Linked DNA regions of Alligator mississippiensis. The protein of the gene in region 2 binds, or shares a complex with, the protein of the main gene of each other region. Links are inferred from orthologs where the notes say so. Each region holds a gene or a part of one and is shown on either strand. Other genes may lie near its edges. The genes, in order: LSM5, PRPF6, SART1 and LSM8.

Region 1 (7,975 bases), on a different chromosome or scaffold from region 2:
TCCATTTAAGCACATCAGTTACAGAAACTCTTTTCTGTAGCAAACACTAAGGAATATCAACAGTGCTTTCAGCAGGGTAAGAAGAGCTCACTGGTGCCATGAGTAAACTGGTTCAGGTACCCAAGGTAACTTGTTTAACACTAAGTTAGGGATCTCTACACTACACAGTAGCTGGCAGGGTACATACAGCTACCATCTAGGAAAAAAATGCCAAAACAAAAGCCTCCTCTCAACCACAGAAGAACGTACATAGCATTGATACTGGTGAGGTATCCATGCTCAATCACTGACTTTTCCACCAGAAATGCACAGTTCAAGGCTGGCCAATCTTCCTCACCCTTCTAGTCACATACCAAAATCCTAACATGTTCAAGAGCAGAAGGACATAAAACTTTCAAAATGGCATGCCCCAGAGTTAATGATCTTCAGACAATGCCCTAGCTTGAATAATAACTAACTGTCAAATGACTCAGTCAAATATGGAAAAAACAAACAACTGGGGGGAGAAAGGTTTATATTTAATTTTTTCTCTTTCTTCAGGAGTAGTTTTTAGGATAAATTGATAAGCATTGCCTGTGGATCCTAAGCTGTACGCTCCTAATATAGTCATTTAAGAGGTGACTGAAAAATTACTGGACAGTAATATATACACTTTCAAACTGAGGCTTAGGGGTGCGGACAGAGGTAATGTTGAGATGCTTCAATTATCTTTGAAGAGCAAGCCAAACAGGCATGTACTTCTTTTAATGTACTAAAACAAAAATAAAAATGGTGGAACCCTCAATAGTACTTGTTTCCAACAAGATTATTTCCATAAGCACTTTTTACTACAGTGGCATGCTCTGCAGAGCATGACAGGAGATGTCTGGGTTCTCCACCTTCCCACAGTGCTCTACAGGGCATTGTGACAGTGAGCACTTTCTTGAGGATCTTCCCCCGCCTCCCTCCACCACACACACCAGACTCAAGAAGCCTCATGCCCCACCATCCTCCTCCAAATAGGAATTCTGCTTTCCAGAAATCAGTATATATTCTTTTGTTAGAATTTTTCGGCATGTGAAAACAACGAAGTTAAAATAGCCAAGAAAGATATAATACTTACAATTCTGTAACATCCTCTAAAACCATGTCTGAAGTCTAGGATCAAGGAATAAAACTACAGAAAACATAAAGTTATTAAACTGAAGTTTATTTTCATTTCATAACAAAAGCCATGCCTTTTTTATTTCCAACTTCAAGTAGCATATTTGTCAGTGCAAAAATGTTTGGAGGTTGGAAAGAACTTAAAACACATGTAAAGGCATTGAAGAGGCAAACACAAAAATTGATACCCTGAAAATGTTTCATGTAAAGGATACTGACAAAGTCATCAAACCCTAGGAGCGTGCCAACAATTTCTTTATCACTCTTCATCACAATGTGAATACGTGAGCCTATACATTTGTCCACAAGCTCTGCAAATTTAAAAGCATTTGTCATCATATAGAATAAATGGACATCTATTTTTAATGTTCACCTTTTACAGAATGTGAGGATAAACAAGTGCACATTCAAACAGAATGCCAGAAACATTGACAGACCAATACATATAAAAATAGCTTTTGTTTGGATATCCACTGTTATATACACAACACAAGGGCATACCGAGTACTATATAACCCTAGCGAGCCCACTTTGGAATGAAGTTTTAGTAATATTACTATTAATGATAATCAATTTCAACAGTACCCAACATGCTAAGCACTTTCCAGATCCAGCTGCATAGAAATCTAAATAACAATTCACATAGGGTTTATGTTTACATTTAATCTTTACATTTTTTTCTACATCCTATTAACCAGTGATGCTCAACCACCAGCCCATGAGGTAATGTCATCTGGCACATAGGTCTTTGCACAGGCCCCAAAATTTGGAGCAGTAGCAGTGTTAGCAGCCCCTTTCCTACTGCTAAGGTTCCAGACCTGGGAAAAGCCTGGCAAGCTGGATGCTGTGGCTCTGCGTGCAGGGCTGAGCCTGCACACGGCTAGATTAGGCACGTGGGGTCAGGCCAGCCCATGGCCAGAGTGGGTAGACAGGGGTCAGGCTGGCATGCAGCCAGTCCAAAACAACCACCCCACGCAGCATCCGGCCTGGGATGAGGTTGAGGGTCCCAAAGGTTGAGCAGTGCTGCCATTAACAAAGATAGATAAATTAAATAATACATTCTTAGAAGGTATAATCCACATTTAAAAAAATCTTTGGGACAGCAGAATTTTAGCTAGGGAAGAACGGGATCGTTTGGGAGCTCCGTTTTTCCCTCCTGCCTCTGTAAGAGAAGCATATGGGAGGAAACCTTTTACAGGCCAAAATGCCTTTGGACAGACATCTTCCAGAGGGGAGCTGCATCCTTACGTGGCCCCATCTACGCGTTACCTATACTGCACAACTCATGGGTGAAATGTGCAATAAGTGGCCTGGCCACTAGTGCAGAGTAATGAGCACAGCATAAAAAAGTGACCAAGCAGCTGCAGACAGCCAACGGGCCGCTGAAGTAGCACTTCCACACACACAACAACCCTGCGGCCGGTCCAGTGACAGCCAGAGTCCCCACCCCACCCTGCTGCAGCATCGCCCCTCCCACGCGTCACGTAACACCCTCCCCCCCCCCCCAGCCTGCGCACTCCACGTACGACGTACGTCATCATCGTTCCACCCACGCCGGGAGGGAGCCGCGATCGCAGCGCAGTCTCACGTGACTCCCCTCCCCCAGCCGCGTCCCGCAAACGGTCTAACAGTTCTCGCGCTTCGTCCCCTCCTCCAATCCATCCATCCCTGTAGCCAGTACTAGCGCTTCCCACGCACCCAGAGCCCGCGGAAACCAGAGCCTTTGCTTCCTCCCCGCTCCGCTAGACCCTAGCGGAAACCCACTCACCGAGCGGCAGGAGCTGCGACGGGTTAGTCGTCGCGTTGGCCGCCATTTTGGAAGCAGACCTGCTCAATCGCACAGCCTCCAAGGGGAAATAAGCCGAGCGAGATGCGAAGGAGCGAGCTGAATGGCTTGGAGCGCCCCCTCCCCCGCCAGACTCAATCAATCGATGTTGGAGCAATTAAGTAGACCTTTTGCCAAGCCCCTTTCGCATGCTCTGGCCCCAGGGCCACGCAGGGCACTGACCAAGGGAGACTTGCATAGAGGACGCTGCGTCCTTACTTGTGCATGCTCTGCTTTTCAGATCCCCTAAGTCAGCCACTTTGCACAGTCTGGAGGGACCCGTGGCAGCAGGAGGCAATACTTTCTCACTTTGAATTAAGTTTATGGTAGTGCAAAAGGCAGGCAAGTTTCTTTGGGTAGATGCGGCATCTTTTATTAGACCAAGTAGTTAGAAAAAAGTTTTTGGCAAGCTTTCGGTTGCATTCACCCTTCTTCCAGCACAGGGAGTCTATCTATGCTGGACTGAGACTCCAAGAAATGAGAGAAGCTAAAAGTGTGGCTAAAAGTGCAAGAGTGATGTCGTAGCCCGGAGGGTCTGCTAGAAGCAAGGATTTCTTAGAACAATCGCTCTTATTGGATCAGCCAGTTGGGTTAAAATAAAGTTAGACCAGCTTTCAAGACTTGAGGAAGAATATCTTGCGTTTGAAAGCTCGTCTAACTTTATGCCAACTACATAATTGCTCCAGGAAAAGCTATCACCCTAAGAAATTCTTGCCTTTTGCATAATTAAGTTTATAGGCATTTGACTGTGTTCTCTCCTGTCGCTGGGCCTTGATGAGCAACACTGGAAGCGTTAGGTCGGCTGAGCACAAATCATAGATAGTTGCAGTTCTTCTCACCTTGTGCAAACTTTCTGCATCCTGTGAAAGTCTTCAGGGTTAGGCAAGGTGCAGGTAAAAATGCAGTTGGGAGTTTCAGATGCAAACCTATGGACAGTTGTGGGGGTTGGGTTTTTTTGGCTGGATCAGGGAGCAGTGGAGTTAGCAGCCCCCCATAGAACACTGACCAGCCCTTTTTAATACTGTTGTTTTAGGAAAGGCTGTAAATAACCTTCCTAGCTAGCTTTTTAGAACTGCACTACTCACGTCTATGGTCCGACAAAGGGGCTAGAAAAATGACCTAATTGCTGCCTGCTTTGAATGTATTCTGGTCAGCCTGTACAGCCGATAAGTATCCCAGTGAAAATAAAGCCAAATTTACCTCTCTGAACAAAGTGATCCAGAACATACACACACTTACAGTGACACTTAAGCCAGAATGAACTGCAATGATTAGCAGAAAAATCAAGCATCTATAGAAACCACACACTAGTGCTAAGTGAAAATTGCCTTACAGGAGAAGGTCAACCTACGGAGTCTGGGATGGCCTACATTTCTTTTGGAGTGATCAGTCCAAAGAAGATAACAGAACCTGGAGTTTGTTTTACTACTGGATGGACTTTAGTTGCCATAAAGCTGAGAAACATTTGTCGTATAACCAAAGCAATTTCAGAGAAGGGAGAGGCACAACAGGTAGGATCTTTACACAGCAAATATAAAGAGAAATGCAGAAAACAGGATATTGACCTCTACTGTATCTCTGTTGATCTTAAAAACACAGTTAACACTGGCAGCAGAGAAGGCTTACGGACGCTTCTCTTGGATGCCCCAACAAGTTTGCTGTAATAGACAATATTATGATGGGACAATGACAAGCATGATGCCTCCAATCCATTTTCAGTAACAAATGGTGTAAAATAAGGCTGCATCCTCACACCCACAATTTTAATGTCTTAACTGCCAAGCTACTAGCTGTTGCCTGAATTTAATATAGGTATTCAGTTTAGAATGCGGACTGACAGAAAGATAGTTTAATCCCAACTGGATGCAAGCAAAAACAAGTGTGATTGAGGACTCACCCAGGAACTTCTGTTTGTTAGTGACTGACTGTCTTGGTTATTCATTCCTAGAAAGATATACAAGTCATTACGGATCACTTTTCAGTTGTGTGCTCACATTTTGGATTATTAGCCTTAAAAAAGATTGTGTACCAGCTTGTTCCTACATAGGACATGCTATAAACTGAATTAACCAATCTAGGTGATGCACAATCTAGGTGGTGTACAACCTACACCCCTCCAATCCAGGTGATGCACTCTCATGTGAAGTTCACTCAAATGATGATGTTGGCAATCACTTAGAGCTACTGCAGCCTTTGGAAATATACATTAACGCAGTGGTTTTCAACCTTTTTAGACTCAAGGCACTACTTGAAAAATGTCAGCTCTTAGCTTTCACTTCTTTTTTTGACTACAGAAAAATTAAAGAGAAGTTCTTCTGTGGCAAAGAACTCAAAGACCACAACAGGTCAGAATATCTTTGACACGATGGATTCCTATCTGGGGTTTATCTTGTAAAGCATGAATATGTGTTTGCACACCTACCAGTGCTAACATTGTGTTGCACTCCACAGCACCCTTGAAAGGACTTCATGGTACCATGGCTGAGAATCACTTCATTAATGTCTTTAGAATAGGGGATTTATAATTTTATAGACAAAGGAGACATACAAAGGCAATATTCCTGACATTACATTCCTATTCTTGAACAGGAAAACCCATTATCTCACTCATGAGATGAAATGAGGGCTCCTTCAACTACGAAGGAAAATGATAAAGATTTAAACCTTCCAATATCCAAATGGAGATCTTATGTTTGAGAAAACAAGTTGTGATTTTCCAAAATTCTGCAAAACATTTAGACGTGCATCATGTAAAACTTGCTAACTCTTCTCATCTCCCATTTAGGTTCCTGGGCCGGTGGCTTTCTTACCAACCCTAAAAGGAACTAGTAAAAAACTTCAAGGCTTTATTTACCTTGGGGCACAATTTATTGTTCCAGCACAAGCCTCATAAATAGTATCAAAACAAAGCAACTCCCCTGACTAACACAGACTATAGTCTCCATGGCTTTTAAAGCCATAACTATACCATTTCTCTCCTGAACCCACATCTGCTCCTGGGGAAGTTAGTTGTGCCCACTTGTTCCCAGTGGGTCACATCTAATACCTGCAATTAGGCAATATAAAACTGCAAAATAGGGCTGAAGCAAGTCTGCACTCATGCCCTCAAAAAAGCTCAGCATCGCTCATTAGCATTTGCATTGTCTAATTGCAGGCTTTGGGTATCCCCCAGCAGCAGTGACTGACTAAGCTTTACTTCCCAGTCAAGAGAGAAGTGGTATAGACATAACCTTACTGAACAGCTTTCATTCTTCACCTAGCACTAATTCTTGAGTTCACACTCCCCAAGTCTTCTACCAGTTCTTCTGTCTCATCACAAGCTGCTCACAAATCCCAGCGAACCTGGATTTTAGTCACATGGTTATCATGTGACATTTGTGCTTTTATTTTCCTTCACTTGGGGCTAAACCTGACAAGTCACCTTGTCACACCTCTCCTGTAACATCCACACAATTTGTCTAAGGAAGACCCAAATATAAATATCTACACAGTAAATTGGTAACACTGCCATGAGATAAGCAGGATAAATGCAAAAGCATAGTCAAATGTTTTCCAACAGAAAAGCTGCAGAAAGTCACTGGTGCATTAAGCCTTTATCTCAAAAATGGATGCTTGAGACTTCAATGAAAAGAATGTCACACTGCTCATGGAAATGTGTTCCTAATCATATTATTAATGTAAAGCATATCTGTTTCAAGTCTCACTGCAAGTAAAATCAAGTCAGCTGATCCTGATTGTCATTATTACTTTCCCAATGCTGCACTTGCTGACAGTTATCCTGTAATATATTACAATGCAGGTAGGAGAACTATGTTACTAATTTGTGCTTTGTTACTTAGCTACGCGCAGAGGGAGTGAAAAATTTCACAAAGTCAGAGCAGTTTGTGCCTGACATTATTCCACCTGAGTGTATGACAGCTTCCAGACCTCTATTCCTCTTCCACAAGTGCCCATAGCTACATAGGGTGAACCATGGAAAAGTCACAGAGTATGGCAACAATTTGCTTTAAAATACAGCAGCAGGCTTCCTGTTTTATTACACAAGCTGACATCTTGTTCTACAATGCCTTGTTCTTTTTATTGCCTCAGCTAGCAGGAAGGAGAATTTCAAACAATGAAAAAAACCCTCTCTCATAAACAATAATCAGATTTATCCAGGAACCTCACTTAGATGATTCCTTATGACAACCTGCAAACTAGTGAAAACAGTCTCAGACTATACCTCTTCTTTGCTGAACTGAATATGAAAGGTAGTTTCTAGCCCTTCTTTTTGGTTATAGCACATTACTGGAGAAGATAATGGCAGTATTTCATAAATGTTTTTCTTTCCTGGCTTTATTCTAAGCATTATAGAGAACTGTGTGATTGAAAAGACCTAATAAGTAATCATTCACCTACCAGTGTGGAATAGTTCCTTACAGCATGTCTTTTGTTCCCTAAAATATATTTCTTATGTAATGGAACTTTTGTTGAAGCTGATGAATATTATGTAATTGCAGACTTTAATCTGTTGTTATAGTTGGAGTCTACATGGATTGCATTAATGATGAGATTTTCCTGGAGCATTTATCCTTTTCTTTGCTTTTAGAAAGAATCCTTTCATCCAATGTCAACAGAATCCCTCAATAACTAAGGGCCTGGTCTTGCACAGCTGTATTTTTGAAGAGTTTTGCTGTTGACTTCAGTAGGAACAGGATTTAACCTGGAGAGAGATCAATTTGTCTGAGCATAGCAAGAGGAGCCTAGATCGCCTACGTTTTAATTCTTTCTCTGACACACACACTCTCTGTGGCCTTCAGTTAGAGGATATGAGGCAGAGTGGTTAAATGGCTATCTGAAATACAGGGATCATATTATATACTTATTAATCTTAGAGGTAGAGCACAGTGATTCTCAACCTTTGCAGACTCAGTACACCCCTTGAAAGATACCAGCTCTTCATTTTCACTCATTTTTTAACTACAGAAAAGTAACAAAACAATCATTGACGATGCATAGGAGATTCAC
Region 2 (6,821 bases):
ACCAAGCACTTTTGAAGCAGAAAGTTCTCTCACACTGATTCAGTAGTGACTTTTGAAAATGTTGCCCTGGTAACAGAGCAAGGCAGCACAACAACAGAGAAGCCAGAAGAACTGATTCCTAGATTTATACCATAACTACAAAACACTGCCTTGTTGAAGTTCCATAATTAAGCCTACCTTCTCTCTTTTCTCCTTTCGTCCATCCTCTTATCCAATGCTGCATAAATAGCATCCGCTTCCTCATCATCTTTCTCATAAGGACCACTTGAGAACAGGCTCCCAGCATAGCCATTAAACTGAAAATTTTAAAGGGCCAAAACATTTTAGTTTCAAAGTTCAGTTACACATCTAGCAAAGCCAATACAGTCATTCAAGAGAAAGAAAACCCCTCAGAGACAATTTTAACAGTAAAAAGGCAGCAAAAGGGCACAGCACATCAGCCCCCTTGGCTCTGCAGGGACTTGTAGACCTCCTGCATCTAAAAAGAAAGACCTATAAAGGATGGAAGACTAGATCCACCTCAAAGGAGTATTCTGCACTGGTCTGGACCTGTAGGGTGCAAACCAGGAAAGCCAAGGCTGCGACTGAACTCCAACTGGCTACATGTATCAAAGACAATAAAAAGTCCATTTTTAGATATGTGGGGACCTGGAGGAAAAGCAAGGGTAACACTGGACCCCTGCTAAACCATATGGGACAACTGACAACCAATGCCCAGGAAAAAGCCAACCTGCTTAATAGGTATTTTGCGTCAGTTTTTCACCAGTCCCAAGGGTGGTAGTCAATAAAAGTCAATCACTGTGGTGCACCGTGACCAGTGGAGTCCCCCAAGGCTCAGTCCTTGGGCCTATACTGTTTAACATCTTTACTAATGATGTGGACATTAGTATCAGAAGCGGACTGGCCAAGTTTGCCGATAATGCTAAACTTTGGGGTAAAGCGTCTATACCCGAGGACAGGAGGGCGATCCAGGCTGACCTGGGCAGGCTCAGAAAATGAGTGGATGAAAACCTGATGGCATTCAACACTGAAAAATGCAAGGTACTCCACCTCGGGCAAAAAAACCCGCATCGCGCTTATAGGCTCGGCAGTGTTACACCTGCTAGCACCGCAGCTGAAAGGGACTTGGGGGTCAGGATTGACCGACCACAAGATGAATATGAGCCACCAGTGCGATGTCACAGCTGGTAAAGTGAGCAAAACTCTGGCTTGCATCCATAGATGCTTCTCAAGCAAATCCTGGGATGTCATCCTCCTGTTGTACTTGGCCTTGGTGAGGCCGCAGCTGGAGTACTGCATCCAATTCCAGGCTCCACAATTTAAAAAGGATGTGGAGAGGTCTGAAAGAGTCCAGAGGAGAGCCATGCGCATGATCGGAGGGCAGGAAAACAGGCCTTATGATGACAGGCTGAGAGCCCTGGGGCTCTTCAGCCTGGAAAAGCGCAGGCTCAAGGGGGACCTGGTGGCTGCCTATAAGTTTATAAGGGGTGTAACACCAGGATCTGGGGGAACGTCTGTTCACCAGAGCGCCCCAAGGGATGACAAGGTCAAACGGTCACAAACTCCTCCAAAACCATTTCAGGCTGAACACAAGGAAGGAACTTCTTTACTGTCCGAGTCCCCAAGGCCTGAAACAGACTGCCGCCAGCAGTCGTGCAAGCGCCTACTCCGGACTCCTTTAAGAGACATTTGGATGTCTATCTTGCTGGGATCCTTTGACCCCAGCTGACCTCCTGCCTCTGGGCCAGGGGGCTGGACTCGACCATCTTTCGAGGTCCCTTCCAGCCCCAACGTCTATGAAATGCAACTAAAATAGCCTTAAAGCAGCCTATCATAGTAGTGAATTTCATCAGCAAAAACCTCTCGGTAAGTGATAATTGCATAAACGTTTCATTAGCAGAAATGTTTAACTATTGAAAACAAATGCAAAACAAACAACGCTGTATCTCAGTACGAGTCAATTTTACTGAGTTAAACGCAAGTTTTTATTGGGACCGGATCATCTCAACGATGGGGTAAAAAGCAGCTGTTTCGACTTCGTTTCTGGAGAAGCATCAGAGGAACGGTCCACAAAGCACTCACCTTGATATTGTATTTCAACATCCCTCCCCAAACCCCCTGGGCTCAGTACAAACAGCCCGACCGCAACGTGCAAATATCACCACGGAAAAACACGCCCATACGCGCTGCGGCATGACACACGCACGCAACTCGTGGCAAGGGGTGCTGCGAACTGGCTCTGCCGTTGTTCCCTCACATAGCACGGCACAGGGCGTCGGGATGATTTTGTGTGGTGTTTTTGGGATGAGGGGGGAGGCAGGGAGAGAGGTATTACATTTCCCCCCCCCGTCAGACAGGAGAAGCATCACCTCATCATAATTGGTGTCGTTCAGATCTTCGTCATCGTCGTCTGCCGTCTGGTTTTTCTTCATCTGGTCCCCGACGGTCCTCTTCCCCGGCGGCGCATGGCGATCGTCCACCGGGTCGTTGGCATCACGCGCCGGGCCGATATCCGAACGGGTGGTGAAGCCCGTAGCGCTAAACGGAGAGACCAGCAGCTAGGATTTAGTCTGCAGCGATAATACGAAGGCGAGGAACAAAACAATCCAGCCGTTCACAAGTGCAGCACCCCACTGCTGAAACACACTGTGCAGGAGCAGCTCCCCCCCTTCAAGGGACACCATGGTGGAGCAAGGAAGCCGAGCTTTTACTGCCCGGCTTCCCTCACAAGGTTTGGTGCCTCTAAACGCGCGGGACCAGGCCCGACGGGCGCTGAGAGGCGCCGCAGCCCCCCCTCGCCTCGCCCAGGCCCGGGGAGGGGTGGGGGGAGGGCTCACCCGCGGCCCAGGCCCGGCACGTAGCCCAGCGGCGCGGGCATGCCCAGGAACGGCTTCTTTTTCTTGTTCATGGTGCCCGTGATGGCGGCGGCTAAGCCCGAGGGAGCGGCCGAGCTGGAGCCGCCCGCGCCTGAGGAGGAAGAGGAAGAGGAAGCGGCCGCGGCGGCCATTTTGGGAAGCGGAGGCGGTGCTACCCAGGCAGGCACCGCGGCCGGAAGTCCCGCCTACGGGCTTCCGGGCCGAGGGGCGCAAGCAGAGGGGAGGGGGGATGGAATGTTGGAGGGGGTTGGCTGTGAGTGGAGTGTGCGCATGCGCGCCTGGCTCAGGCTGCTTGCAGGTGCCTGCTGCTTGCTGCTGCAAACAAGCATCCCCCCCCCCACTGCAGGCATGCCCCTTGCAACGCACTGCATGTAACATGCATGTGCATTACACACCACATGGCAGAGGTCAGGCTCCGCAACATTGCCAACTTTTGTGATTAAAGTTGTCGTAAAAGTTCACGCGTCACCGCAGCTCTTTCTTTTATATAAGTATTAGCAATATAAATGGATATGAAGGAGCTACGCTGTTGCATGTTCCTGACGCGTAAACTTTTACAAGCCACGCCAAAAATCATGAGATTTGATAATGCTGCGTGCACGGCATCCCTCCAGCCCTCGGTGCGTACGGGTGCTGCTCGGGGTGCTCTGCTTTGTGTCGCCTTCTGGCTCCCTTGATAGCAACCTGTGACCTCCCGCTTGGCCCTGTTGGTTATTTGTCCCAAGGAATCGGTTGTGACCTCCCTTATTAAGACTTATAATTTCATTGGCCCACGATTCCCTTTGGCCCGTCGAATAGGCCCCCAGCCTGGGTTGCACCATTCATCCCCAAGGCCTGCAATGCACGGCGATGGAGCCATGCTGCGGGGAAGGTCTACCTAGGACCAAGGACAGAGGCCGTGCTTGTATTAATATAGGGAAATCCCTCCCAGGCTTGCTACCAATGTTTCAGGTCTCAGGGGTAGAAGCAGCATTGGCAGCCCATGCACAGACAAAGCCCAGGAGTCTTTTAGCATCATGAGCGCTGCGGCACACAGATCTGTGCTACTTGTTGGGAGATGCGGCTTCATTTGCCGACTGGCTTTGAGGGGGTCTCTCTCATGGGGATGAAGGGCCTTATTAACACAGAGTTTGCAAAGTCCAGGAGGACCTCATAAGAAGGGGAGTTCAGCTACACAGAGGGTTTGACCCTCCTTCAAGGAAACCCCTTTGAAACCCAGCTGAGGAGTCTCACTCCATCAGAGCTCGGGAGGCACGCACGTTGTTCAGAGGTCGGTGGGGAAAGCTTCATCGTCATCACGGGCGGACGAGGTTCTTTGAGTAGATGTGACATTTTTTGTATTAGGCCAACTAAATAGTTGGGGAAATTGTTCTTTGCAAGCTTTTGGGCACAACCGCCCTTCGTCCTTAGACGAACACGATTACAACCAACTTGTAATCACAGGGCATTTGCTTCTGCATCACGGTGCAGCAGGGTAACCCCTGTGCTCACATCACCCATGCACTTTACGTGTTCAATGCATGCCACTAAATCCACCCTGGTTTGCTTGATGCTTAGCCCAGCTTCTTTAAAAAATGGTGCGTTCCTAAAGCAATCCTCGCCTGAGTGACAGCAGCAGAGCCAAACTGGACATCAGCTCTGCTGGAAATATCACTGGAGTTCCAGCTGCTGGTGGATGGGTCTCCACAAGACACCACGTAGGTCTAAAGTGACCACTGCCCGCTATCAGAGATTTTTCAGTACCTCCTGAGAAGCAGAGAGGCTTTCCCCCATGAAATCTGCTTGGTTCCGGTTTTGTATATACCACCAGGTGGAGTACTTAGCACATTAACTTGCCCCTCATTAAATAATCACCTCTCAGGTGCATAATTGAAGACAGGGAAAAAAAGAGACTCAGATCGGTTCTTTTTTGAATGTCCATGCGTGGAATTCAGACCGAGTCTGCCTTAATGCTTGAGAGCCAATGCAGCCTCAGCAGGCTTTACAACTTCCCAGAACTCATTCAAAACTCACAGGGGGAAAAAAAAAGTCTTCAGAACTTGAGTAAAATTCGATACACTCCTCACCCTAATGATCACAGCCTAGTTTTGTACCTCAAGTGCACTACTTTCTCATCAGGCCTTTACAAGAAAATCAATTTCATATCTTAGCTCTCTCTATGAAGTTAAATTTAATCTACGTGGCTGTATTTTGCTGTATTGCTTATTTAAGGGATAATATCCATGGCGGTGGAGTATGCAAAGCAATAAGCTGAGCTTGTACTTGATTAAATGCTGAAGCGGAGCGACGGCATTTAATCAACAGCAAACACCATTTATTGCAAGCATGCTTCAGTGCCATGAAAATTACTGCTATTGTACTGCCAGAGAGCAATTTTAGGCATCTATTCTTGTTTGAAGAGGGTTTGGAACTGGTATGCTGCTATCTGTGTAGGATTTTCTGGTGATGGTTATATCTGGGGTAGGAGAAATGGGGGGAACTAAACATCGCAGCTGACTTTGAGGATGCTAGAATAAGCGTGACCTGACCTCCCCCCATTCCAAGCAAGCCCCAAATTGTAGAACAGTCAATTTTGCATTGCGCTGGAGGGTTTGTTGTTGTCTCCGTGCATTGAATGTAAAGGAAGGGGGAGAGGAACTGGAAGGGATAATGTGCAAAAAGGGGTGATTGGAAGGGATGGGGATAAAGGCCGTGAACCCCTACAAACCAAGCCTTGCCATAGTCCGTCCCCGCTTCCACCCCCTCCAGCCCCGACATTGGCTCTGCTACCCCCCTGATGGAAAGCAGGACAGTGAATAATTGATGAAGGGGGTCCTGATCAAGGGTTGAAGCTGAATCGCTGATCAAGGGTTGAAGGACTGTGTGGAGAAGAGTGACGCCGCTGGAGATGCTGCCTGAATGCCGATCGGGTTGAGAGTGTCACGCCTAATGAGACAGCGCTCTCTTTTCAGGACCCCGGCAGGCTCGGTCTTCCTCGGGTCCAGGCTGTAATCACTGTCATCGCTGTCACTGTTAGCAGTTATTATTTGCACTGTGCTCAGGGCTTTGTTAACCCCTGCTGCTGTGGGGCAGCAAAGCAATAAAGCGTGCACAGATACAGTCTCCTAGAAGACATCCAAAGTGGCTCTTTTGGGCAATACAGTTGGCTATGGCCTACTACATCTTCTCTGGTGCTTGGGACTCCGCGCCTAATGCCTGCTTGAATACACTGGATCTTTTCATTTCTCTACTAAATCTAGAGCAGATGCCTGTGGGCAAGGGAAGGTGGGCTTTGATTGATTGATCTGTCCCCACTGGCAGATCAACAGTTTTTCTTCTGGCTCCAACTCATCCCCTGCTGCCTGGACTTCACATGACACAGGCCTCTTAATATGCGTCCCTCCCACACCCAGTTATTTTGCTTTTGCAGCATGCATATGTGATCCTGTAAAATTAAATGCATGCAAGCTATCCCACCGGGCTAGCATAGCAGGACTGGATGTGTAGTAGCCAGAAAGCACCTACCAACAAGGACTTCTTCAACATCAGTGTACCCTGGCCCTGCTGAGAGCTCGGGAGCACGTGGTAATTCTGGTCACAGTGTTTCGGGAATGCCCCTAATGTCACACCCCATCAAGAATGGCCTATGGCCGACCCACGTTGGTTCATGTTGCCCAGTTGGGGTTGCTTCCCAGATGCTCCCTGATGACACAAGGCATTAAATAGAGACTGCTGCACAATCAGTCCATAGTAGAGCAAGATGCCCAGTGGAAACTGCCTCTGGACCACATAGTCCTACACAGGGGCTCAGCACATGCACTTTCACCCCCTCAGCCATCCAGCAAAGACTTTGGGTGGACCCTTTTCTATGCACTAACTGCACACGAGGCCATCCAGCTCTAAACTACAGCTCTTTCCTGCCGTTTCATGGCCAAGCAATTGCCTCCTTTGGCGTATCCCAAACTT
Region 3 (8,017 bases), on a different chromosome or scaffold from region 2:
CCCCATAGATCTGACCTTTGGACCCCCTAGCTCTTAGCTCCAGCTGTTATAAACCCCCAGCTCTTATAGGTCCCCTATAGAACCCCCAGCCTCTTTAGTTCCCCTGTGGGCCCTCCCCAGTCCTTATAGCTCCTGAATAGACATGAGGCCCTGTAGATACCCGTTAGCCCTCATAGATCCTCTATAGATCTCAACTCCTATAGAATTCTATAGATTTAGTCCTCATATTACCCTGAGCTCATGTAGATCCCTTATAAGTCAGGCTTTAAACTAAGTACAATGGGAGATGGGGAGGCAAGAGATGGAGAGCGTCTAGAACCTACGAACTGCAAGCCATGCAGCAGTGCACCCTAGGTACGTACTAAGGGGCCCTTTGGGCATCAGAACAGCGGGGCATCAAAGGCACCATTCGGAGGGCTCAAGTGCCTCTATACTAATGCTAGGAGCATGGGGAAAAGGTAGGAAGAACTCACAGTTCCGGTTGCAGATAATAACTTTGATTTAGTGGGGCTAATGGAAACCTGGTGGGAGGGACCCTACCCATGACTGGGTGGTACACATTGAGGGCTACAGGTTGTACAGAAGGGACAGAGTAGGGAGGAAAGGGGGTGGGGCTGCTCTCTATGTAAAGGAGCATTATACATCCACCCTAATCAAAATGGGATCAGAGAAGGAGAAAGTAGAGGCATTGTGGGTTTGGATATGTGGAGGTTGAGGGGAAAAGGACTTGGTGGTAGGGGTCTGCTACAGACTACCACACCAAGAGGAAAAGCTCAACTTGGAATTCTTGAGGCAACTCTCAGAAGCCAAACGGTCTAGGGACGTACCCGGACATGTGCTGGGAGAAGCAGTCAGCCAAATCCAACCGTTCACGTAGGTTCTTAACCTGCGTGCAGGACCTCTACCTAACGCAGGTGCCTCGGTGTTCCTGAACAGGGCTCGAGATAAATCTCCCAATGGATTCTTAGACGGGCATCAGAGGGACACCAGCCTACTAACTGTTGACACTGACTTGGTGCAGAGTCACTTGGATGGGCCGGATGTGTTCAAGTCAGCAGGCCCGGATGGGCTGCATCTGAGGGTACTGAAGGACTTGGCCCATGTCATAGCAGAACCGCTGGCTTGGCTGTTTGAGCGCTTGTGGCACTCGGGTCAGGTCCCGGAGGACTGGAAAGGGGCCAACGTGGTCCCTATTTTCAAGAAGGGGAGGAAGGAGGATCTGAGTAATTATAGGCCAGTCAGTCTCACCTCCATCTTTGGAAAGGTCTTTGAAAAGATCATGAAGGATCATATTTGTGGGAGTCCAGCGGGAAAAGTAATGCAACAGGGCAGCCAGCATGGATTAGTAGCAGGTAGATCATGCCTGACCAATATGGTTTCGTTTTATGACTGTGTAAAAAATGCTTAGATGCAGTAGAGGTGGATGTCGTTTTCATGGACTTTAGCAAGGCCTTTGATACGGTATCTCATCCTATTCTCAGAAATAAATTAAGAGGCTGTGACATAGATGTTTACACGGTTCAGTGGGTGGCAAATTGGCCCAGCGGTCGAACCCAGAGAGTGGTAGTAGATGGGTAGGTATCGACCTGGATGAACGTGGGTAGTGGGGTCCTGCAGGGTTCAGTCCTTGGACCTGGACTCTTCAATATCTTCATCAGTGACTTGGATGTGGGTGTGAGGTGTACTCTGTCCAAGTTTGTGGATGATACTAAATTGTGGGGTGAAGTACACACTCCGGAGAGTAGGGAACAATTGCAGGTAGACCTGGAGAAGTGAGAAAAGTGGGCAGTACACCATAGGATGCAGTACATCAAGGACAAGTGCAGAGTGCTGCACCTAGGGTGCAAAAATATCCAGCACATCTACTGCCTGGAAAGTGACCCTCTCAGCAGCACAGAAGCAGAAAGGGATCTTGGAGTCATAGTGGATCCAAGATGAACATGAGTCGGCAGTGTGACGAAATCATCAGCAAAGCTAATGGCACTTTATCGTGCATCAGCAGATGCACGACAAATAGATCCAAGGAGGTGATACTTCCCCTTGGTTGGACAGTTGGAGTACTGCAGCCAGTTTTGGGTGCTGTACTTCAAGAAGGATGTTGATAGACTCGAGAGGGTCCACAGGAGGCCACTCGTATGGTCAGGGGCTTACAGGAGAAGGCCTACGAGGAGAGACTGAGGGACCTGGACCTCTTCATCCTCTGCAAGATAAGGGCGAGAGGTGATCTTGTGGCCGCCTACAAATTCATTAGCGGGACGCAGCAAGGGATCGGAGATGCTCTCTTCACCAGGGCACCTCTTGGGGTAACAAGGAGCAGTGGTCACAAACTGACAGACAGCAGATTTAGGCTGGATATCAGGAAAAACTTCTTCACGGTAAGGGTGGCCAGAATTTGGAATGGACTGCCGAGGGAGGTGGTGCCCTCCCCTACCTGGGGGGTCTTTAAGAGAAGGCTGGATAGGCACCTGGCTGGGGTCATCTGATCCCAGCACTCTTTCTTGCCCCGGGCAGGGGGTCGGACTCGATGATCTGTTGAGGTCCCTTCTGACCCTGGCATCTATGACCCAATAAAACCCTAAAGATCCAACCCCTACACAGCCCCTAGCCCTTATATGTGCCCTATAGAACCTCCCCACCTCTTATAGCCCCGTGCCCTGTAGACCCCCAGCTCTTACCCTGTAGACATCCAATCCCTAAAGAATCTCTAGCCGTTACAGATGCCCTATAGAACCTCCTCAGCCCTTACAGATTCCCCCTCCTATAGAACCCCCAGCCCTTATAGAGCCCAGACTATAGAAGCCAAGCCCTTAAAGATTCCCTATAGGTCCCAGGGCCTATAGACACCCCTCAATCCTTATCAATTCCCTACAGATCACAGCCGTTCTAGGAAAACTACATGGCTCCTGCCAATAGAGAACACCCAGCCTTTATAGATCCTCTGAGATTAGCTAGCCTCTATAGACTCTCCGGCCCCTACAGACTTTGCCAAGAAATCCCAAGTCCTATAGACCCCTGCAGGAGCCCAAGCCCAGGGCAGGAGGGTCTGCAGGGGTCCCCTGACAGCTGGGAGGGTGGGGGTGGCACCTGTAACCTGCCCCCTATGTGACTTGCCCCCCCAGGTCTCAGGAGCGGGCGCGCATGGCGCTGTACAAGGCCCAGCTGCGGGAGATGGAGGCTCGCGTGAGCAGCCGGCCTTACCTCTTTGAGAGGGTCATGCAGGTGCGGGTCCCGCCCCGGACACCTGGGTGCTCTCGTGCTCTGGGAGGGGCGTGGGACTTGGGGGGTTACAGCTGGGGCGGCTGGGAGCTGACAGCCCCTGCCCTGCAGGCCGGTGCCCGCCGGGCCATAGAGCACCGCTTCTCCCAGGTGCTGGAGGCGCTGGGCATCGAGGAGGCCGGGCTGTGGAGGCAGGCGGGGCACCAGGGCCCCCCCTCAGCAGGTATGAACAGGAGCCCCCTGCCCGGACGCCTGGGTTCCCTCCAGCTATCGGAGAGGAGCAGGGTCTGGTGAATTAAGGGGGGAGCCCGGACACCTGGGTTCTCTCCTTTGCCATGGCGGATGCTGTGCCCTCCTGACAGGTCTCCGCGGACAAGGGCCGAGACCCACCTCTGGATCCACCTGAGAAGGCCCTGGAGTAGCGTAGCTTCTGCCCTGAATTAAACAGGCCTTGGGAGCCGGGACACCTGGGTTCTCTTCCTGCTTGGGGAGGAGTTGGGGCTGGAAGCCGGGATGGCTGGGCTCTCGAGCTAGGGGAAGGACGCGGAGTCCGGGGGCTGGAAGCAGGAGCGGGTTCTCTTGTGCCCTGGGAGGGGCGTCGGACTCGGGGCTTAGAGCTGGGATGACTGAGAGCCCACGCGCCTGGGTTTTCTCCCAGCACTGGGCAACCAGCTGGGAGGGAGACTGAGCCACTGCAGGCGCTGCCCTCATACAGCGCCAGGGGGCGCTGTGCTGCAGGGGTGCAAAATCCACCCCCACGATCCATCAATGGTACATGCCATTAAGGATGCACCAGACTGTGCGGATTGTACCATGCCTTCTTGGTGGGGAAAATCAATCTCCCCCCTTCTGGATCATACCATCTCTTCCTTCCATTGGGAGAAAGGACATTTTCCTCACGCTTCTACTTACAATGGTATGTCCCTCTGTGCCTACAGAGCAGTAGGTGGGTCATGCCACTTTTTCCTCTGGGGGGGGTCTAATATTCCACCCCTTCTACTACCAATAGCATTTCCCAATATGCATCTAGTGCAGCATGTGGATTATACAATCCTATCCACTCCCGAGGGGAAATGTTTCCTCCTTGTACTCCTAATAGTATCCCCCCGCCCCCCACGCCTACAGACGAAGTGTGGGTCATACCATTCCTTTTGTAAAGGAGAGGGGTAATCGCCCCCTTTGTACTGCCAATGGTATTTGCCTGTACGCATCCAGAGCAGCAAATGGATAACACCATCCTTTCCCCTGGGGGGGGGGGGGAATCTTTCCTCCTTATACCCCGATATGATTCTCCCCCTTCCAGCATACGTGGGTCATGCCACTGTTCCCTGAGTAGGGGGATAAGAATTCTCCCTATTCTACCACTGATGTGTTCCTACATGCCTCGAGAGCAGTGTATGGGCCATACCATTCTCCGCCTTTTAATGGGGGGAGTTAACCCTCAACCCCAATTAAGGTAATGTTATTTAAGGCCTAGGATGAGTAGCCTCCCTCCACCCCTCAGGGGCACTCCACCCCCGCTTCCACTACAGGAATGGTACAGTCCGACGGCGGCTGGGCACAAGATAGTATTTAGCGGGAGCCAAAGCGGAAGTAGCTTTCAGCGCTCTCCCACTTCCCGGAAGCAGGTAAGGCTGGCCACTGGAAGTGGTATGACTGACCGGAAGTAGCGACGGTAACCACGGAAGTCATGTGACTGAGCCTTCCCCACGTCCACCGGAGGTAGTGGCGACGAACGCGGAAGCCGTGTCCTGACCTCGCCGGATGTAGAAGCCGTGACCCGGAAGGAGTGTTTCGCGAGACGGGAAGGGACGTCTTTCACCCCGGAAGCGGCGGGAGGTTGACCCCGGAAGGGTTTGCGGCCGCCATTCTGCGTCGCTATGGGCTCTTCCAAGAAGCACCGGGAGCGCGGGGAGGCGGCGGCGGCGCCGGGGGCCGGCTCTGGGACCGCCGGGGGTGGGGCGGGGCCCGCGGAGGACCCACCCCCAGCCTCGGCCCCCGCCCCCGCCTCGGCTTCGGCCTCCTCCTCCTCCTCCTCCTCGCGGCACCGGGAGCACAAGAAGCACAAGCACCGCGGCGGCGGGTCGGGCTCCGGGTCGGGCTCCAGCGAGCGCCGGGGCAAGCGGAGCCGCAGCCGCGGGGAGCGGAGCCGGCGGCGCAGCGGTGGGGACGAGGCCGCCGCCCCCGGGGGCAGCAGCAGCCGCGGGCATGGCCGGGCCGGGGAGCGCGGGGCCGCCGAGGCCGAGGGCGGCAGACGGGCCAAGCGCGAGCGGCGCGAGGACGGGCACGAGACCGGTGAGGGGGGCGTGGGGGCGGTGTACAGGAAAGGGGGGGGAGTGAGGGAGGGGCTGCTTTTCGGGGAGCAGGGCAATGGGGAGGAGTGAAGATGAGGGTGGAGGCTTATCTGTGGGGTGGGGGTCATGGGGTGTCGGGAGGGGGCTGTGAGGAGCCCGGGTCTGTGGCAGATCTGACGCTCGGGCTGGGTCCTGGCTGGGAAGTTCCGGGCAGAGGGGACTTCTCTTGGCTTCACTCACGTCTCCCCCTTGCTCCCCTCCGCACCAGCCACAGCGCTCAAGAGCGGCTCTGGAGAAGCCCTGTCCCTCAGCATTGAGGAGACCAAGTGAGTGAGAGCTCCTTTCCCATCCCCCCCACCTTCCCGTGGTGCAGTCGTGCCTCACCCCGTGGATGCAGGTGGGGTTGGGGCTGGGGTTGGGGGGGGCTACAGCTCTCAGGCGAGCGGGGCGCAACACCTCGCCTTTGTTCCAGTCCCGCCTAGTTGCCCTCAGCTCATGGGAAGCCTGTTTTGCCCCCCATGGGTCAGGTCTTGGCAAGTGCAGCTGCCCTGAGGAGGGGCTATGAGCCCTGCTAGGGGGGTAGGCACTGCTAGCCCAGACCCCATGTTTCCCATAATAATCTTGGGCTGAATGGATCTCGTTCTAATGGGGTGAATGGATCCAGTTGTTTGTGAGATCAGGCAGGGAGATTCTTTGCTGGTTGCGCTGTGCGCTGCCCTGAGCAGCGCAGCATGGGCAGGAGGGAGGAGGAGGAGCTGCGGGGGGCAGGAGCAGCACCTGGGCGGCTGCAGCAGCCCTGTTCAGAAGTGGGCCCTGGCTGGGGCCGGGGCAGCTGGGAGCGCGGCATCTGTTGCCCCAGGTGGCAGTGGACAGGGCTCAGTCCCCTGCGGGGCACTGTGGGGGCAGCTGCCAGCCAAATGGGGTGGAGTGGGAGGATGACTGCAGCTGCACCACCCCGGCGGGGCAAGCTCTGTTACATGTGTCCCCTGTACCCCCCCCCCAACCTTTCCTCACCCCCAGCCAGCTCCTGGTACCTAGTGCACAGGCAGCCCACCTCCACATGCACCTCACATCCCTCCACACCCACTCCTCCATGGATACCCCCCCTCCCCCACATACACGTATCCTCCTCAACACCCTGCTCAGACAACATACAAGAGTAAGATTTTATTTTTGAGCTATTATACAGTTGCCTGTTTTTGTAGTACTTGAAACGGAGACCAGGCTTAAAAATTATTTTTTGAAATAAAACTAAAATGCGTCATAGTACATGCCTGGGTTTTTGTATGCAATTTTTGTCTCTGACCTGTTATGAGATGCAAAAGATTTAGCAGGTGTGGTTCTCCAGAACTCATTACCTAGCCCTCTAGCTGAAGTCATTGCCCACCCCTGGCTTACTGGGTTCCCACCACCCTGATTCATTAATACTCAGTTTAATAAATAGTGTGACACATCAGTCTTGGTCACAGCCCCAATGTACATGAGGGTGGATGGGTCATGAAGGAGGGGAGCTGGTCCAGGAGCCCTGGTTCTGAGCCCCAGGCACTTTGTGACTGTCACCACTTTCTGTCTGTAGCAAACTCCGAGCCAAGCTGGGCCTGAAGCCCTTGGAAGTGGGCACCATCAAGAAGGGTAAGTCTGTATTGAGCATGCCTGGGGGGAGTGAACCCAAGCACCCAGCCTACCAGCCCCCCTACTCTAACCCCTCAGCCCCCACTTGCCTTCTGGAGCTAGAGAGAACCCAGGTATCTGGGTCCGAGTGTTTGTCTTTCCCTACCTCAGCCCCCACTCCCATTCAATAGCTGGGAGAGAACCGAGGGGTCCGGGCTCTCTCAACCCCTGCTGCAATCCCCCAGGCCTCATTCTTATCCTTGAGCTGGGAGAGACCCCAGGCATCTGGTTTCCCAGCCCACACTCCCTGCCCAGAGCTGGTGAGAACCCAGGCATCCAGATCTAGCACCCCCTGCTATCACCCCCCCCACCCCCTCACTCCACTTCCAGACCTGGAGTGAATCCAGGTATCTTGAGTTCTCAGCGCCCCCGGTCCCTTCCCATCTCCTGGCTGGTGCAGTCCCGGCCCTCCCAGCCCTGTCCCCAGCTGTTCTCTGTGCTATGGGTTCTTGGGGGGGCCTGGGGAGGGAGTCTCAGGGGGTCCAGGGCACACCCATATTTCATGTATGCTCCCCCCCCCCGCAGAGGCAGGCACCAAGGAAGACCCGATGGCGGCCGATGTCATCAACCCGATGGCACTGCGGCAGCGTGAGGAGATCCGCGAGAAGCTGGCGGCTGCCAAGGAGAAACGCCTGCTCAATCAGAAATTAGGGTAATCTCACCCCTTTGCTGTATCCCTGCCCCCTTGCTGTCTTGGCCCTGGCCCACATCCCTTCTATCCTGCCCCCACCCTCGCACCCACTCACCCAAACACAGCGGCATCCCTGCTTTTGTCTCCCAGAGCATACAAGTTCTAGGGGCAGAATCCAAGAGTGTTTCTTTGCAAAGAACCGTGG
Region 4 (7,672 bases), on a different chromosome or scaffold from region 2:
CAGAAACTAACCCATAATAATTTAGTTTCAATGGAAGAGAAATGAGTTACCACAGGTTAGCCACCACTTACTACACGTATTATACAAACAGGCAGTTACTGTAGAGCTGTGATGTTCAGCCTTCCTACCCCACAAGCCAGATAAGTGGCATGGAGCTGCTCTGTGTACCACATCCCATGCAAGTGGTCAGTCCTCTGGCCTGATCCAGCAAGGGACTGGTCTGCAGGTAAATCCAGCTGTAAAGTAACCCCTGGCGTGCTAGTTCAATCCAGCCCACAAGGCTCCCCATGGCTCTGGAAATTTGACAGGACAGAAGAAACAATTAACGCTGCTGCTGTTCCCCTGCCACCACATTTCCGGACCTCAGGGGACACCCAGAGACAGGATAATATGGCCACATGGGCTGGATCTCACCTATTGGCCAGAAGTTGAGCACTACTGCTATAAAGTATCTGATGCACAGTACAGTCAATAACTCTTAAATTATTTTAGTAGAGAAGAAAATCAATCAGAATCAGTGTCTGTATGGGCTTTGTACACACACATACCCTCACCCCCACGGAGCATCCAGCCTAAGGGCATGGGAAAACAAAATCCAAAGTAGCTATGAGAGGAAAACATAGCTAAACAGGAAGTGGCACAGAACCTGACAGTTCTCAGCAATGTACAGCTTGAGTCTTGAGAGTGGATTTGAAGGATGGGGAACAGGCTTGGCAAAATAAGGGCATGAGTTGTAATGGTAGAAAGTACTCCAAGCCAATCACATTTGGCTTCCTCATAAGTGAAGATGTTCAATAATAAGGTTTCAGACTATGGCTTTATACAAAATAATCAGGATGCTGTACTGAACCAGGAAATAAAGAGTTATTAGCATATCACTGACAGCATATAATCTCTTTTTCTTATATTTACAAGCAAGAAAACTCATAAAAGTTTGTTGATTAGTCACATGTGCTTAAATTAGCAGAAACATTTCTAATAGTTAATACTAAGAAAATAAATCGAGGTACTTCAAAAATGTTAAAATGGCTGCCACACTGCAATGCCTGGCAGAAAGCTGAAAACAATGTTCTCTAAATTTGGATAACATTTTGTGCAAGTTATACGATAGATGCTTGGCATATCAATTTCAGTGACGAATAACACTATCATATTGCATCATTTTGAAAGCAAACCAACTAGACCTTTAATTTATCACACCTCAAATTTGTCTTAGGTCATTACAAGAGACTGAATTTCAGGAGAAAAAAGCTAACAGTCAAGCTAAGTACTGAACTTTTAAGAAACAGAACACAAATAGAAACTTTGAGTCTTTGATTGGTTTAATGATAATCATAATGCTTAAATACAGAATTTGGTAGAGTAAGTTCCTTCTCACTATAAATGGGAATGGATGCAACAATATACACAGTACATACCAGAATTCCGCAGGCCAACTTTATAAGAAGCCAAGAGAAAATATTTGCTTTTACAAGTTTATCAGAAGAGGGGAATTAACAGGCTAAAAAGTGCTAAACCCTCAGGTGATAAGGCACAGCACACAAGCTGCAATAATGAAAGGGATCTCTTCCAATAAACTATATTCAATCACTCTTGTTCATATCACACTCAACTCTATTATTGAGGCTTTTATTACGAGAGCAATGGAGGATGGAACAGAGGGGCTGAAGCTACTTTTCAACTTGCGAGCACAGTTATAGAGCCTCTTTTACCTTCAGCTCATCATTATTTAACTTTTAACAGATTGTGTTTGTGGTGTTTCTTTCATATCTTATGTTAGATAAGAAAATGTGTCAGGTGTATTGTCATGAACTTCTGTAACATACACCAAAGGAGCAGGCTATAAACCCTGGCCCCTCTATTTAGAGTTGGGGCACAGCCCTTCATAAAATGAACAGATAGAAGTAGACAGGCTTTGTGGCCCCTAGTGCAACGTGCGACTCTAGAACAGAAATGGGTCTTTATAACTTGCTGCATCTTGTGAACTCCTTCAATTGCTGCCACCTGGTGTACGCTTCCTGCTACTGTCAACCCCACTTAATATCACACGCTTTTGGTGGTCCTGCACACACTGTCAGGGTTTGACTGTTGACGTTTACATCCTAAGTGCTGCCTGTTGGGTTGCTAAAGACTTTTGAGGAGACGCAACATGATGTTGAGAAGAAGAAATGTCTCACCACTATCATCCTTCCATCCGAGGTAATTACAGCAACAGTGCCTAGCGGGCCCATTAAGGAAACACTTAAAAAAATCCAATACATTGCATACATAATGCCCCCCCCTTCAAATGTTTGGCCTTGAAACCATGCAAAGCCATTTCATGTTCCAAACTAGAGGTGTCAAACTCATCTACTCCCATGTGCAGGATGAGGACTGCTGGGCCTGTCTGCTGGAGGGCTCAGGCCGGGCCAGAGCTTGTGCGCAGAGCTCGCCTGCCACAGCCCCCACGCAGCAGCGCGCGCCCCACTCCGGGGCTGGCCTGGCACATGGTGTGTGGGGCTGGCAGGAGACATGTACTGCTAGCAGCCCTATCAGCCTGACCCTGGGGCTGGTCCAGACAGGGCCCCCAGCTGCCTGTGTGGGTGCGGCAGGCAGCACAGGCCCCGCGGGCAGCTCAGTCCGGCTGTGTGCAAGGTGTGAGACCCGCTAGTCGGGTCACAGAGCCCCAGCCCGCGCGGCCTTGTGCTGGGCTCCGCTCGAGAGGATGCAGGAGGCGGGCGGTCCGCGAGCACCGCCGCCCTCGCCGCAGCCTGCTCCGGATGGGGGCTCCAAGCGCGGACCCGCTGCCTCCAGGGCCCGGCTGCCCCGCGTCCCGCACGCACCCGCCTGCTCCCCCCCCCATGACGCCACACGAGCGAGGCCCGGAGGGATACGGTTGATGTAGTTCTCCAAGGCGGACGTCATGGCGGCAGCTCCCGCGCCCCGCACCGGCCCCGGCTACAGGCTCCCGCGAGACAGCCCGCAGCAAATGACTTCCGGTGACGGAAGGAAGTGCGGCGCTCTGGAAACGGAGCTGACGCCAACTGTGCTCTGTTCTCGCGACACTGGGCGCGTTGGAGGACCGGGGCGGGGGGGAGGGGGAAGGTTTTGAATACGCATGCGCTGAAACGAACCTGCGCCTCGGCAAGAAAGCGCGGGGGTGTTACTGCGCATGCGTGATCCCGGGGAATTGGCTGCGCTGTGCCGCACTGGGTTTTCCCTCCTGCCAGAGGCTGGTGCTGACGTCACGTGTCCGCGTGCGGGCGGGGCTGGCTTGCCAGGGAGAATTCGTCCAACAGTTTCAGTGGCTTTAATGAAAGATACCGGATTTACCCAGAGCCTTGTCTGCTTATGTCCTCAGAGCGACACAGCTACAGCCTACACCCCTGAAATTATTTTATTGGAAGCCCAAAATTATCGTATTTGCTGAAAAACTATTGTACACTGAAACAGTATGCAAATAAGTCTTCTTTCTTACTTTACTTTCTATTGTTCACTGCCCGTGAATGGGTGAGAACTGGGTCATCAAAGTTGAAGCATCTCTTTATTTTGAGGCAAGCAGTAATATGAAAGTACTGAAAGCAAAACCAAAAGTTGGTAAGACTCCCTGAGAGTGACTTACCTTTTGCATACGCTGCTTCAATTAGCTTTCTCAAAAATGACTGTACATTTTGAACCATTTTTATTATTACTGATCATACATCGTAGGAGAGTTGAAATTATCATACACCTGGCAACACTATTTGGGCCCCTTCAGATGTCTAGGGAAAGGTGTGATGGGATCTGATGTATGACCCACACAGTCGCCAGGCAAGAGGTGTGTCTGGGACCCAGCATCCGGTCCACTCACACCCTATTGCCAGTCACACCTTAACGCCATCCAGTGGCGACACATAGGGGGTGCATGGGGATGCATGTGCACCCCCTGAGAGCGCTGGTGCAGTGCACGGGACACTGCCACGGCAGTGTGGGGCACCCCCTCAGCTGGGAGGCCTGGGAGCTGTGGGGCTCTCAGCTGAGGGGGCATAGCTGTCATGCAGTATTCCCCACTACATGCACCCTCCTGCTTCCTCAGGGGCTGCTCCGCCATGGGAACACTTTCATGACTGCAGAAGGAAAGGTACAAAACAGTGAGGGGAAATGTTATGACACAATGTCTTCACCTACTGGGGGTGTAGTCTTAAAACCTGCTGAAGGTTAGCACCTACACCCTTTTCTTCAAAGAAATAAGCTCATCTCCTGCCTCAAGCTCTAACTTTATAGAGGGAAGGATGTTTTTTATGGAGTGATAGTTACTTTACACCTGTAGCCGGTCTAAATGAATTGCACAATTAACCAGTAAATTGCATAATATGTGTAATGTAGATAGGGCCCTTCAACATTGCAATTGCATAGTTACTTCTTAACTTTTTAGTACTTGTCTGTGTAAGCATTCAAGCTGGATTCTTCTGTTTTGCATTAGTATTATTGCCATACCCTTCAGTTAAGGCCTTACTGGATAAATAGAGCTACTTTGATGCAAATTAAACAGCTTTGTCTAGCTCCCATTTACGGTAGTTTGGGGTCCTCCCTTTTTCAGACAGTGATGAAAATGATTAAAATGACAGTGATGAGTATTTCTTTTATTGAATTTCATAACTACTTGAGGGAGAGAGGGAAAAAAACCATAGATGTACAAAGAGGTCCTGGCACTTCAGTAGTAGGTGAGAAACTTGTTTTTCTAAAATCAGAGGGCCTGTTATGTTCTCCTTCCAATCAGAAACATGGGAAAAGATGCCAGTCTGTACTGCACAAATATATTTGCAGCCTGAGCTTTATATAATGCTCAGCCTCTTAAAGCTCTTATTATAAAAAGCTTAAGAGCTGCCACTAAACCTTAGACAAGGATTGGAATTAATTATAATGTGTTACAGTTAAGAAGCTAAAGGCATTTTTGTGTCATGACATTTCCCTCTCTGTTTTTGTACCTGTCGTTCTTTTAATAAAAATAATTTTTTTGAGACGGCCAAGAATTAAGTGCCCTGTAGGAGTCAGAATCCCATGAGATTTCCATTGGGAAGAATGTACATGGCCCACAATGCCACAGTATACTAACACCTAGAAATCTTTCATGTACTTTTATCCTAACAAAAATCTGTAACAGCAGTTGGTAGCCTGCTTAGGCTATAGGCCAGTGATCCAGTTGGGACCGAGGTGCCACCACTGCTTTTCCCCATGACAGGGGAAGCAACTACTGCTAATGCTCCACAGCCACAAGCTGGATCAAATGACCCACAGGCTGGATGTGGCCTGCAGGCCATAGGCTGCTGAGCCATGTCCTATAAGGTAGGCAAGAATTATTAACCTAGTTTTGCAAAATGGGGACTGAACTAATACGGACCAGAGCCCATATAGAACATAGGCTGCAGTACCTAATTCATAGGAGCCTGGTCCCCATACCTTTATGGGGAAGTACATGGGCTTCATGTGAATAACAAGGGGAGAGATAGGCAGCTCAAAAGAGGTATTAAAATACAGATGCCATACACAGTAACCTAGAGCTTCCCAATAGGAAAAGATGAGAACAGGAGCAAGTATTAAATCTTAGTCCTCCGGTGTCTTCATCCACTCAGATGCATAGTCCTAAAACCTGCTGAAGGTCAACACTTACGTCCTTTCCTTCAAAGGACTAAGCTCATCTCCTGTCTCTCAGGACTATACCCAAACAACAGACCATAGGCTATTCTGGGAATAGAAGGGCACCATCCCTCATGCTGATGTGCAGAAAAATAATTGAGGATCCATTGGGCCAGAAATGGGAGTACAGAAAGGGAGGGAGCAAGACTGTGGCCTCATAGTTTAGACATACACCTGCAGTGAGTCCAAGTTTACCAGGTTCCTTTTTCCAGGACTATTTCTGTATCTTCTTAATATAAAATATAGAAACAGCCCTGGGCTCTGGTTCTCCAAGGCTGGCAGATGGTCCTCTAGGGCTAGAACCAGCAGTGTAGCACTGTAGCAGAAAGCCCCCTTTTCCTCTTGCCTGCAGTTGCTCTCCCCTCTTTGAATAAGTTTGTCCTCTTCTACCTTTTCTTCCTTCCTCTTTCTTTCACTTTAAGATAAGGAATTGTGTTTTAAAAATTGTATGTGTGCATTTTGTATCTCCCCGTGTATTTTGGTATTTTTATCTATTTGTGTGCAATGGCATTTGTAGCTTATATTTTATACTGCTCACCTTTCAACTTTCAACTATAAATGTGTTTAGTAGCAATGTTAATAAGGGCAGGAGTCAAACTTTGGCTTCCCTGTATCAGGCTGGCCCCTGAAAGAGGGAGTGAATCAGTGATTGAATGTGTAACACTGTAGCAGGCAGCAATTAACACCTGGGAAACTGCAGATCAACCAACGGAAGAAATCAATAGAAGCCAATGTAACAACCGGGAAATCTCTAAACCTCACTGTTCAAGGGCTAGAAGCCCTGGCCTGAGTTAATCAACGCCGGGGACCAACTTTTGGGCTGAATATCTCCAAATCGACCGCTCCCAGAGCCCTATTCAAAATTCATCAATGGACTTCCAAACCTGCACGTACATGCGGACAACCCCTGGGGCTGACAGATGCCATCCAGTAGCCACCAAGGGGGGAAGTCCCACGAGGGTCAATGACCCCTGGATTGGGCAAACCTGAAAACTGGGGAATCACCAAAGTCTGCCAAGGACAAATAAAAAGCAGTGAAAAGTGACCCTCAGGGGCGCCCTCTTGATCTCCCACTTGACCAGCACCCGACCCGTCCAGCCAGAAGGACCAGCCGGCAACCCCCTTCTTGAAGATAACACCACACTGAAAGAAGCCTCGACTGGCCATCGACGGCAGACTCCAGCGCTTGTAGGATAGGTATACCTGACTCTTGTAGCTTGCTACTGTGTGTGTGCATGTGTGTGTGTGTGTGTGTGTGTGTGTGTGTGTGTGGAAGGACCAGCCCCAAGGTTTATGATTTAACTCATTACAGTGTTTCAATCCGCCTAATAAACCAGAATTTTAAGGATCCCAAGTTGGACATTTGTAGCCAACAGCACCAGCCTCAGGACAGGAGCTGCAATTGATTCACTTTGCTCCTCCTGTTCCTAGGAAGATACTGAATGACTGCATAGACATACAGTTGCCATCAAGCTCTTATATTACTAACAAATAAATTATTTTAATAATCCCTTTGTTTTATGCTGTCATGCATATATTTACTTGCTCATTGTGCTTACCTTCATTTGAGTAAAGGCTACATTTACATGTAAATATTATTTATTAATCAGTGTTTTAAAAACAAGAATACTTGAAGTTCCCTTCTTGATTAAAAATATGGATGCCTAAAGGTGGGATTTCCAGAACATTCACTTGCCCTACCTGCTTATCAGCAATCTGAGGTTGCCATGGGGACAGCTGTTGTGACCTTTAGCAGGATATACAACCAATATAGCAGCTAAACATCCCCCTGGGGCTGTGTCTGCAGTCATGAGTAAGCTTCACTCTCCTGCTTCCTCATGGGCTGTTTGGCCATGGGAATACTGTCATGACTACTGATAGGGCTGACCAAGTCATCTGTAAGTGGGCCAGCAAGCACATACCCCAGAGACTTGTGAGCCTTGTGGCTGGCTTAAAGCTTCAGAGCTGAGCAAGTGAGAAGCTCTGTTATTATGGTGATTGTGTATTGCTTATTAAA

What was found.
Region 1: PRPF6 (region 2) and LSM5 share a complex: the UniProt entries of both Homo sapiens proteins name them as parts of the U4/U6-U5 tri-snRNP complex. The link is inferred for Alligator mississippiensis from reciprocal best matches to the Homo sapiens genes PRPF6 and LSM5.
Region 3: PRPF6 (region 2) and SART1 share a complex: the UniProt entries of both Homo sapiens proteins name them as parts of the U4/U6-U5 tri-snRNP complex. The link is inferred for Alligator mississippiensis from reciprocal best matches to the Homo sapiens genes PRPF6 and SART1.
Region 4: PRPF6 (region 2) and LSM8 share a complex: the UniProt entries of both Homo sapiens proteins name them as parts of the U4/U6-U5 tri-snRNP complex. The link is inferred for Alligator mississippiensis from reciprocal best matches to the Homo sapiens genes PRPF6 and LSM8.

Annotation. Positions count from the first base shown.
Region 1 is NC_081828.1:129,629,914-129,637,888, reverse strand, and holds the start of LSM5 (U6 snRNA-associated Sm-like protein LSm5), read right to left. Parts: upstream 3,013-7,975; 5' UTR 2,958-3,012; coding exon 2,912-2,957; intron 1,455-2,911; coding exon 1,359-1,454; intron 1,131-1,358; coding exon 1,103-1,130; intron 1-1,102. UniProt on the Homo sapiens protein: Plays a role in pre-mRNA splicing as component of the U4/U6-U5 tri-snRNP complex that is involved in spliceosome assembly, and as component of the precatalytic spliceosome (spliceosome B complex).
Region 2 is NC_081832.1:2,898,846-2,905,666, reverse strand, and holds the start of PRPF6 (pre-mRNA-processing factor 6), read right to left. Parts: upstream 3,015-6,821; 5' UTR 3,008-3,014; coding exon 2,838-3,007; intron 2,539-2,837; coding exon 2,370-2,538; intron 297-2,369; coding exon 178-296; intron 1-177. UniProt on the Homo sapiens protein: Involved in pre-mRNA splicing as component of the U4/U6-U5 tri-snRNP complex, one of the building blocks of the spliceosome.
Region 3 is NC_081838.1:4,483,647-4,491,663, forward strand, and holds the start of SART1 (U4/U6.U5 tri-snRNP-associated protein 1), read left to right. Parts: upstream 1-5,011; 5' UTR 5,012-5,096; coding exon 5,097-5,511; intron 5,512-5,778; coding exon 5,779-5,836; intron 5,837-7,086; coding exon 7,087-7,142; intron 7,143-7,706; coding exon 7,707-7,833; intron 7,834-8,017. UniProt on the Homo sapiens protein: Plays a role in mRNA splicing as a component of the U4/U6-U5 tri-snRNP, one of the building blocks of the spliceosome. May also bind to DNA.
Region 4 is NC_081827.1:48,187,900-48,195,571, forward strand, and holds the start of LSM8 (LSM8 homolog, U6 small nuclear RNA associated), read right to left. Parts: upstream 3,004-7,672; 5' UTR 2,905-3,003; coding exon 2,874-2,904; intron 2,219-2,873; coding exon 2,178-2,218; intron 1-2,177. UniProt on the Homo sapiens protein: Plays a role in pre-mRNA splicing as component of the U4/U6-U5 tri-snRNP complex that is involved in spliceosome assembly, and as component of the precatalytic spliceosome (spliceosome B complex).